2 linked regions of the Coturnix japonica genome follow. The protein of the gene in region 1 interacts with the protein of each later gene in a biochemical or structural test. Links are inferred from orthologs where the notes say so. Each region holds a gene or a part of one and is shown on either strand. Other genes may lie near its edges. The genes, in order: CFH and PTX3.

Region 1 (4,569 bases):
ATTTCCACTTGGTTAGGATAAGCTTAGTCAGTAATGCATGAAGTTTACGAGCATGAGACTAGAAAGAATTGGGCCTCATTCCCCACTTTGTGATCAGACATTGTTTCTTTTGCCTACTTTATTCCTCCATGAAAAATACTTCAGAGCCTCACTTCTAAGGTGTTTCTTCAAGTTTTCAGTTTAAATGCATTTGCAGTAGGTTTATACTTGTCTTTTATGTGCTAGTTTTATCTTTCAGCTTAAATACGTTAACATTCACAGTGTTCATAGAGAGCAAGTGACAAATTTATAATATGTTTTCAATTTGGTTCCAGGTTCAGTTCAGATCTAGGTCAAAGTATCCTTGTCTGACTGTGGTTTGTACCCATAGTATTTTAGCTAGCAACCCAAAAACAGTTTGTTAAACTCGATCTTCTGTAAGTTTTGTGACATCAGAAGGTACAGTATAAAAACTGCAGAAATGACAGAACCTACACCTACATCATAGATTTTTACATGCAATAAGCATACTCAGTTTTAACCTACATCAGTAGGCTAACCAAGCCAGTGATCTTAAGGGTATCTTATGTGGTCTTTTGGGAGCATACAGAAGACAAACCTGTGCATCCACAACCTGTTCCTGTGCTCTGTTACCCTTACTGTGAAGAAGTTCCTTTGCATAACGGTGTGGAACTTCTATGCTCCAGTTTATGGCAGTTTCTCTTTGTCCTGCACCCACAAACTGAGTAAAAGAGGTTGGCCATGTCATCTTCATGGCCCTCCGCTGGACTCTCTCCAGAAGATCCTTGTCTCATACCAGATATTGTAACTGGATACAATACTCCAGGTGAGACCTGAACAGACCAGGGCAGAATAGAGAGGGAGGATCACCTCTTTTGACCTGATGGCCACTTTCCTTTTAATGCACCCCAGGATTCCATTGGTCTGCTGGCTCATTGCCAGCCTGTTATCCACCAGGACCTTCTCCACAGAGCTTCTCTCCAGCAGATCATGTCTCAGACTGTACAGACATTCGCAATTATTCCTTCCCAGCTGCAAGACTTTACACTTGTTAAACCTCATCTGGTTTACTGTTGCCTAGTTCTCCAGTCTGTCCAGGTCTTGCTGAAAGGCAGCACAGCCTTCAGCTGTGTCAGCCACTCCTTGCAGCTTTGTATCATTGGCATACTTACTGAGGGTGGATGCTATGTTCAAGATATTGAACAAAACCAGACACAGCACCGTCCCCCAGGGAACATCACTATTCACAGGTCTCCAACCAGACTCTGCATCACTGATCACAACACTCCAAGCTTGGCCAGTCGGCCAATGTTTTTCTGCTTTCTATTTCAGTTATTTTCAACAACGATCTTAAATTGATGTATGTGTAGAGAAGAAGCTTATTTTCACCTGCATTTAATGTGAATTTGATTGACAAAGCATAGAAGACACAGGCAATGATACATATACGTATATATTTGTACAACTTTTGGGCAGTAAAAGGAAGTTTATCAGAGCAGACTGCAGGGAGGGAAGGACAGTGTCAACCCACATTGTTATACATTTATTTATTTATTTAGCAAAGTTTGGAAAGCTAAAAAAAAAAAAAAAAGTGTGTGTTGCAAGAGAATTAGGGGAAGTGACTGCTGAAATCACTCAGTATAAATGGGGCAAGGTCAGTCCCTGGAGTCACTCAGTGAGTAAACTATGAGTGCGCATAACACAAAGTAATCGAAAAAGTTGGCTACAGCATTAAATGCACTTACTTCTGAGATCCTGGATCACTAGTATGCCTTTCCTGGGCTATGCAGCTCTCTTGTTATGTTGGACGTATTGTACTGCAGAGAGAGGTAAGCTTTAATCTGGAAAAAAGTGGCAAGAAAGTGTATGGAAAGACAGTTATGAAAACAATTGGTAAATAAATTGCTTGAATTGAAGCCTATTTTAATGAATTTCTGACAACGATAATTGACATTTCTTCTGGTTGCATTTAACACTTTCAGTATTTAGTATTTTCTTGTGGGTAGCATTTCATCTGTTTATCAGATAACTACTGCTATTACTAAACCATTGCACTTCTTTTTTTAATGTTTATTACCGCTGTAAACTATGGTTAGACAAATTATTTGTATTTTGCTTTGTTTGTTAATTATTCTAAAATATAGAACTTGGAAAAAGTTGGTAGGTTAAAATAAATGATATTCAATAAGTATGTATTTCTGTCTGTCCGAAACAGTCCGTGTGATAATCTGAGATAAAGAAGTTGTTACTGGATATACTGAAAGGCTTACAAAATAACTGTTCAATGACAGATTTGGTCTATGGTATTTTTCATCCACTGAATAAGATAAACGTATGCAGATACACTTTGGGACTTGCTTAAAGAGGTAGTTTGTATTCTGGGTATCTTTCCAGAAGGCTGCATTAATATTTTCTGCTTCACTGTTGAATTTATTTTCCTTGATAATGTACTCATATTGCTTAATATCCATTTAATAATCTGTTTTGCTTTGACTGCTTGTTTTCTTTTACAAAGACTAGGAAAAAGGCACCGTGTGATTTTGAGCTAGTATGTCTTAGCTGTGAGTTGTTTGAGAACTAGCTTGTTTCACAAGGGCTTGAGCACTTCTACCTGAATTTGCAGTTTGTGCTTGACTTTCTGGAAGCAAAATAATGGTGGGAAAGTAATTTGAGCTATTCCTAATCCTGATCCAGTCACAAGTGTTTAATAAATGATTAATTCCAGCTTTTCTGGTTTCCTACTGAAGTGTTTGGAGGAATGCATTTAAGCTGTATGTGCTAATATAAAAGTAAATAAATCCCAATTAACTTGTTGAGTACACAGATCAAAGTGCATGATGTAATTAATGTAATTTTGAAGTACATCTTGCCAGCTGATTTCTTTTTCTCAAACTATTAAGAAACCACATTAAAAAAGGAGTATTAATTAGCTGTAGTCAGAAATGCATATGCATACTGAAGCGCTTCACAGTAACGCTGTCACGTAGACTAATATCAGAGCAGTAGTAGAGAAGAACAATCAGAGAATTGAAATGAAATCCAGGGAGAAACATAATGTAATGGTGAAGAGACTGTCAGGAGTTCTTTCTTGTCTTGTTTTGTTTGTTTTTTAACGTGAACAATGAGGTGTAAAGAGTCCCCAGTCTGCACAACAGACAACAAAAGTATAAATCAGAAATAAGAGGAGAATACAATTTATTGTGGGTAACAAATGAAAAATAGGTTAATAGGTCAAATTACGGGGTATAAAACCTGGACAAATAAGTTGTTGTTGTTTTTTAACAAATGAGGTTGAAAGCAATAAATTTAGATGTCTAAGACCCATGTGCAATTTCTCTGAACCTTTTATAAACGGGATCTAAAAATGGTATATTGATTTGAATGTGAGATGACTGAGCTGTACATTTATTGTCTGAATAGTCTTGTGGTTGCTAGCAAGCAGATGCATGCATGGAAGAAAAGTTAGTCACGTGTATAAGTACATGTGTAATTATTAAGCTGTTCTTGAAATCATAGAATTTGGACTCTGTTTTCTCTACTTACAAACTGAAAGTATTGGCATGACCATGCTTAATGAGCTCTAATGAAAGATACACAGAACTGGAAAAATCCCTTGTTTCACCTCTGCAGATAATCTTTCTTGGGTAAAATAGAAACTTTTAACACATTTGCAAGATGGAGCCAACTGGAGGACTACTCTTCATTTAACTTATTTCTACTTTTTTTTTTTTTTTTTTTTTTAATTATTTTCCTTTCTCTTGGCCACGAGTGGGCACTGCCTTCGCTCCGGCTGCATGGAATGAGTGCAGTTTGAGTGGGGAAAAAAGGTATTCAAATGTGAATGTATCTTGCTAATGAAGTGGAAGTCCCCACCACATTTTTTGATAGCAGAGTACCCTCTAGTGGACAGAGCTGTCTTCTCAGAGTAATTGGTTGGAAGGAACATCATTGTTTTTAGAGTAACTGAAATAGCTGGGAAAATGATGAAGCTGTGGGAGGTCTGACACTTCCTTTATCACCTCAGCAGTGTCTCCAAAGCTCGCCTACCTCTCCCACCTACTTATGCCAGTCAAAAGAAAGTTATTAGATCTCACGGTGAGCATTCTTTTCTTCATACTTTCAAAATGCCGTAGCTGCAGAATTACACTTTTTTAAGGTTTTACCCTTTGATATAGAAGAATTAGGATTATTATTTTTTTCTGCTCAGTCTGTATTAGAAATCACATTACTTAATCTCTGTCTGCGATGGCCCTTCCATCCCCTTGCACGGAAAAATTTCCTAAATATTTTCCCTGTAGTGTCGCTTCCAGGCAGCACTTGGACTGTCAGCATTGCTGCTTTCTCAGACCTGTGGCCTTGCAACTAAACTAGTTGAGATTTTGGTTCCAGCTCTGTGCTTAGCAATGAATTGCATTCACCAAGAAACTTCCTTTCCTAGAGGCCATCTCTCATTTCTTTTCTAAGGTTTAATTTCTCAGAGATCGCTTTTCATCAGTTCTCACTTGTGATGTTCAGATGTAAATACGTCTGAATAGAATAAAATACATTGTAACTAATCAGCTACACTGT
Region 2 (4,318 bases), on another chromosome or scaffold:
CATTGCAATGTAGTATGGCTTCTTTTTGTGCATGCTTGTGAGTCCTTAAGGTCTCCTTGAATTTGGTTTCCAACAGGAACTAGCACTCTGGCCTGCTGCTTTTTCTCCCACTTAAACCCAAGCTCTGCAATTTTGCAAGAGAAGCAGCTCAGTTCCCAGGTGGGACCTATGTTTCAGACCTGACCGCACCACACTCGTGCCAGATATATGAAGAGCAACCCAAGCCTTGCAACACCACCTCTGAGCCAAGTAACTGAAATGCAATTCATTGCAGGCTCCAAAAGGATCCGGAGGTAGAGCCCTTCAGGAGTGCTCAGCCCTGGGACCACCTCTGCACTGCTCAGCAGCTCTCTGCATCTGACCCCCAAAGCATTTGTTCTGCTCCTAGAGCTGCTGGCTTCTCCCAGACCCCTGCATACAACTACTACAGCACTTAAGGGCAAGCTCCAGCCCTACCTCTGTCCCCAGGGCCATGGGGAATTCCTGCCCTGTTCCAGGAATGGAGCACAAAGCCAGCTGCAAATGAAGGAGATTTATTGATGGTTACCCCAGGCAGGTCAGTGAGCAGCTCAGTTCTGGCTGCTCTACCCACACCTTTGTGCCTGTCCCTCCCCGGTGCTACAGGTGAGACTGCACAATAGTTAAGGGGCACGAGAACTACTGCCTAACCATGGGATCAGTGCTTCTGTGTCACAGAGGTTCTTTTGAAGGTGCCTCTTTAATTTGTATATTCATCAAGGATTTTATTTTTTTCTTTTAATTAACCAGGAAAAGTAACCCAAACTAACCAAAAGTAACCCAAACTAACCAAAAGTAACCAGCAAAGCACCAATTCACCTGAAGTTCAAATCAACGTTTTCTGGATTCTCATCTGAGTCTGAAATTGGACAACCTGACTGTTAATAGACACAATTCCAATCCTGCAGCTGCTAACCTGTAGGCTTCAGAAGGAAGAAACTAGACAGAATACATTACCTGCAAGGACACAAAGCTGCTATTGCTAATTTGGGCTAGAAAAGTAAAAACCAAACAAGCTGTCTTTATTTTACAAGTTCTCCTTTCGAGCTCAAACTACTAGCAGAGGAGAAGATTCCAAATTAAAATCCCCCCAAAGCCACAGTATGTGGGTTACACCAGACACACGCATCCAAACCAGCTCCAGGTAGACACGTTTTCCTGCCAGCCCCCTCCGGAGCCGCAGCACATACCAGCAGCCAATGGAGTTTGCACAAAGAACACAGAACAGCCCAAGTGATGCGGCTCAGGCAGCAATCCCTGTCCCTGCTCCCAGCCCAGCATGTTGTGTATTTCTGGAACTCTGCTCCAGGGGAAGCAGCAGCGTGCGGAGCAGCTCTCCCCGACCCCCCCTCCTGCAGACCTGGGGGCTGACATTGAGCAAGCTGCACGCCCCCTGCTCCTCACTGCCAAAACCAACAACCAGAAGTGCTCCTATTACAGCGCTGGCACTCGCAGCGCTCATTCATTCAAGCTGAGACACTCGGAGCATTTATTAGGGGCTGCCCCGTGGCTCCTCGCAGTCCCCGCTGCAGTCCCACTCCAGCCCAGCCCCAGCCCGGCTATTTGCAGGAAGCAGCTGCAGAATGCTGCCTGGAGGAGTGCTTTCTCTGCTCATGCTGTTCTGTGTTTTCAGGGCTTCTGCTTCCGTGCTGGATGAAGATGACGACTACGATCTCATGTATGTGAATCTGGACAACGAAATTGAAGGTCCGGTCCTGGGCACTGAGGAATGTGAGTAGATACAGTCTACATTTCTGTTAAGCGCAGCACTGCGTTCTTTGTTGCTCAGCTCTTGTAACAGCCACAAGCATTATTTTAAGAGGAACCATGTGCTTGTAGCAGTAGGTTATTGCAGACGGCAATGCTCCGGTACTGGGATGGCGCTCCACAGTTTGCTGTGCACTACTTTTCTGTTTCCCTGCAGCAGACACCACTTGGTTTTAGGATTGCTGCACTGAGCACTGCTTTGCCTTCTGCTTTGAGACAGACACAAACGCAGGGGCAGGCTGAAGCCTTGCACAGAGGCAGGTTTTGGGAAACACACCTTCTGTTTAAACTTAAATCCGTGCCTTGCCTTCCAGCTGCCTCGTGTGACTGCCAGCGGGAGCACACGGAGTGGGACAAGCTCTTCATCATGCTGGAGAACTCACAGATGAAGGAGAACATGATGCTGCAGGCGCTGGAGGATGGGCTGAAGGAGGACGTGCAGGCAATCAGAGCAGAGTTGAGCCAACTCTCCGCTGGCCTCGCTGGCACCTTCAGCTCCGCGGTGCAGCAGCTCACCTCCCACGCCTTGGCCCAGCTGGAGCAGGCACTGCAGAGGAACAGAGACCAACCTGAGGATGCTGAGAGGCTCTGTGAGTTCAAGCAGGACAAGGTTCTGGAGCAGGTCCTGCAGCTGAGCCACAACGTGTCCACCAGGCTGGGCCAGCTGGAGAGCTCCTGGCTGAGATGGGCAGAGGGGGAGGCCCAAGAAACAGCTTTCCAGTTCCAGCAGGACAAGCTTGGCCCCAGCAGAGAGGACAACCTTCTCTTGAACACCTTATGGAAAGAGCTGCAGCAGACCAGAGCCGAACTGAAGGCATCTCAGAAGTGGGCTGCCCAGCACCTACTGCCAGCAGGTGAGTGCAGCGTGGGGCGTTTCCCAGAGGGTTCTTTGGGGGCACAAGCAAATGTCCTGTGAATGCTTTCCTCCTCGTAAGTCCCCAAAGCAGCCTTGTGGGCAGCCCTGAGGCTCTGAGCAGGCTGTAGATACAGGGAAGCAACTCAGCAGGCATTCTCGAGAAAGCAGTTCTGAGCTTCCCAAACATGGGATCAAAGAAAGATTTAATCAAAACCCTCACACAGGGCAAAGCAGCCACCCAGCCACCAACCCACCTCCAGCAGCTCTCCTAGATCCAAACAGCTGCCAAAGAGCAGCAAACATATTTCATGCAAAAAAAAAACTAGCCTTCCCTTCTACCTCCCCAGGTGGTGCACCCCCCACTCACTGAGCTCTCCTGTCCCCCTGCAGCATATTCCTGCTCCTTCCTCAGCCTCCTCCCCAGCTGAGAGGGCACTGCAGCAGGGCACAGACCAGCTGCCGACAGCCTGATACCCCTCCATTTACTTTTTTTCCTTCTGGATTATCAGTGTGCAAGTGAGGTGCCCATAGAACAATGAACTCACTGCTCAGATTTCCTTGGGGTCCTTGTGCTCTGTAACAAGACTCCCCACAGCAGCAATAGAGCAGGGTAATGCAGAGCAGAGCCCCAGCTGCAGAAAGCATGGGCACATACTGTTGTGTGCCCAGCAGAACTGTGCAGCTCTGCCAGCCTGGTGACTATGGCTGCGTATTTTCTCAGTGCGCCCACATCTTAAATAACTACACTGTACCACAAATAAAACTGCCCGTAGATTGAAAAACTAAGAAAATCCCCACAAACCTACACTCATATGGTCTTGCACGTGTGCCAACAGGAAGGAGGCATGCAGCCCCACCAGCACCGTCAGCGACCACTTAGCAATGCCATCAGCTCTCACACAGCTGAGCAAGAACTCAAAGCTGTATTTTAATGGGGAACATGAATTCAGTGTTATGCTTTCCCCCCTTTATTTGCTGCAGCATTTTAGTAAACTTGCATGTCCTGGGAGCAGACCTTCCAGCACATCCCTTACCCCCATCCCAAGCACATGGATCTTGCCTTCCAAAAGGCATGAGCTCATTCCTTATCTCCCCGCATAGCACAGCCAGCCTTGCACCATTTACTGTGCCCTGTAGGAGAGTCAAATCTTGATCAGCATTAGAGACCTCAGCCTCAGCACTGGAAACTCAGAGTATTTCCTCCAGTTGCAACATGATTTTATAGAGAGCATTCTTACTTTTTAATTCAAAATATACCTTTTAAGTAATTCCAGTGTATCTCTCTGCCTGGAATTTCTTTTTCAAGGGAATTTTTTGCAACTGACTTTAATCTTGAACTGCTGCCAGACGTGTCTTGAGGGATTTCCTAATCACACTTTTTGTTCTTCAGTGAGGCTGGATTTAATTTTGTTTAGCCCCTGATAACAAAGCCAGAAAGCCTGCTAACTAAAAGCTGCTTGGTGAAAGCATTCCTTCACAGCATCTTAAGGAGCATCCCCAGCAGCTGCCTCTCAGGTCTCCCAGAAAAAGAGAATCCCTAAACTATATGGGTTGGAAGGGACCTCTGCAGCCCCCAGAGCAGGTCTCCTGCAGGAGGTTATGCAGGAAAGCATCCAGGTGGGTTCTGAACCCTCCTCTGCAGATCCCACCACTTCCCTGGGCAGCCTGTCCAGGGTC

What was found.
Region 2: the proteins of CFH (region 1) and PTX3 form a complex in vitro, tested with the Homo sapiens proteins (3 studies listed by IntAct, with this or other methods). The link is inferred for Coturnix japonica from reciprocal best matches to the Homo sapiens genes CFH and PTX3.

The regions. Positions count from the first base shown.
Region 1 is NC_029523.1:2,583,371-2,587,939, reverse strand, and holds the start of CFH (complement factor H), read left to right. Parts: upstream 1-1,655; 5' UTR 1,656-1,735; coding exon 1,736-1,829; intron 1,830-4,569. UniProt on the Homo sapiens protein: Glycoprotein that plays an essential role in maintaining a well-balanced immune response by modulating complement activation.
Region 2 is NC_029524.1:20,183,980-20,188,297, reverse strand, and holds the start of PTX3 (pentraxin-related protein PTX3), read left to right. Parts: upstream 1-1,321; 5' UTR 1,322-1,601; coding exon 1,602-1,749; intron 1,750-2,099; coding exon 2,100-2,639; intron 2,640-4,318.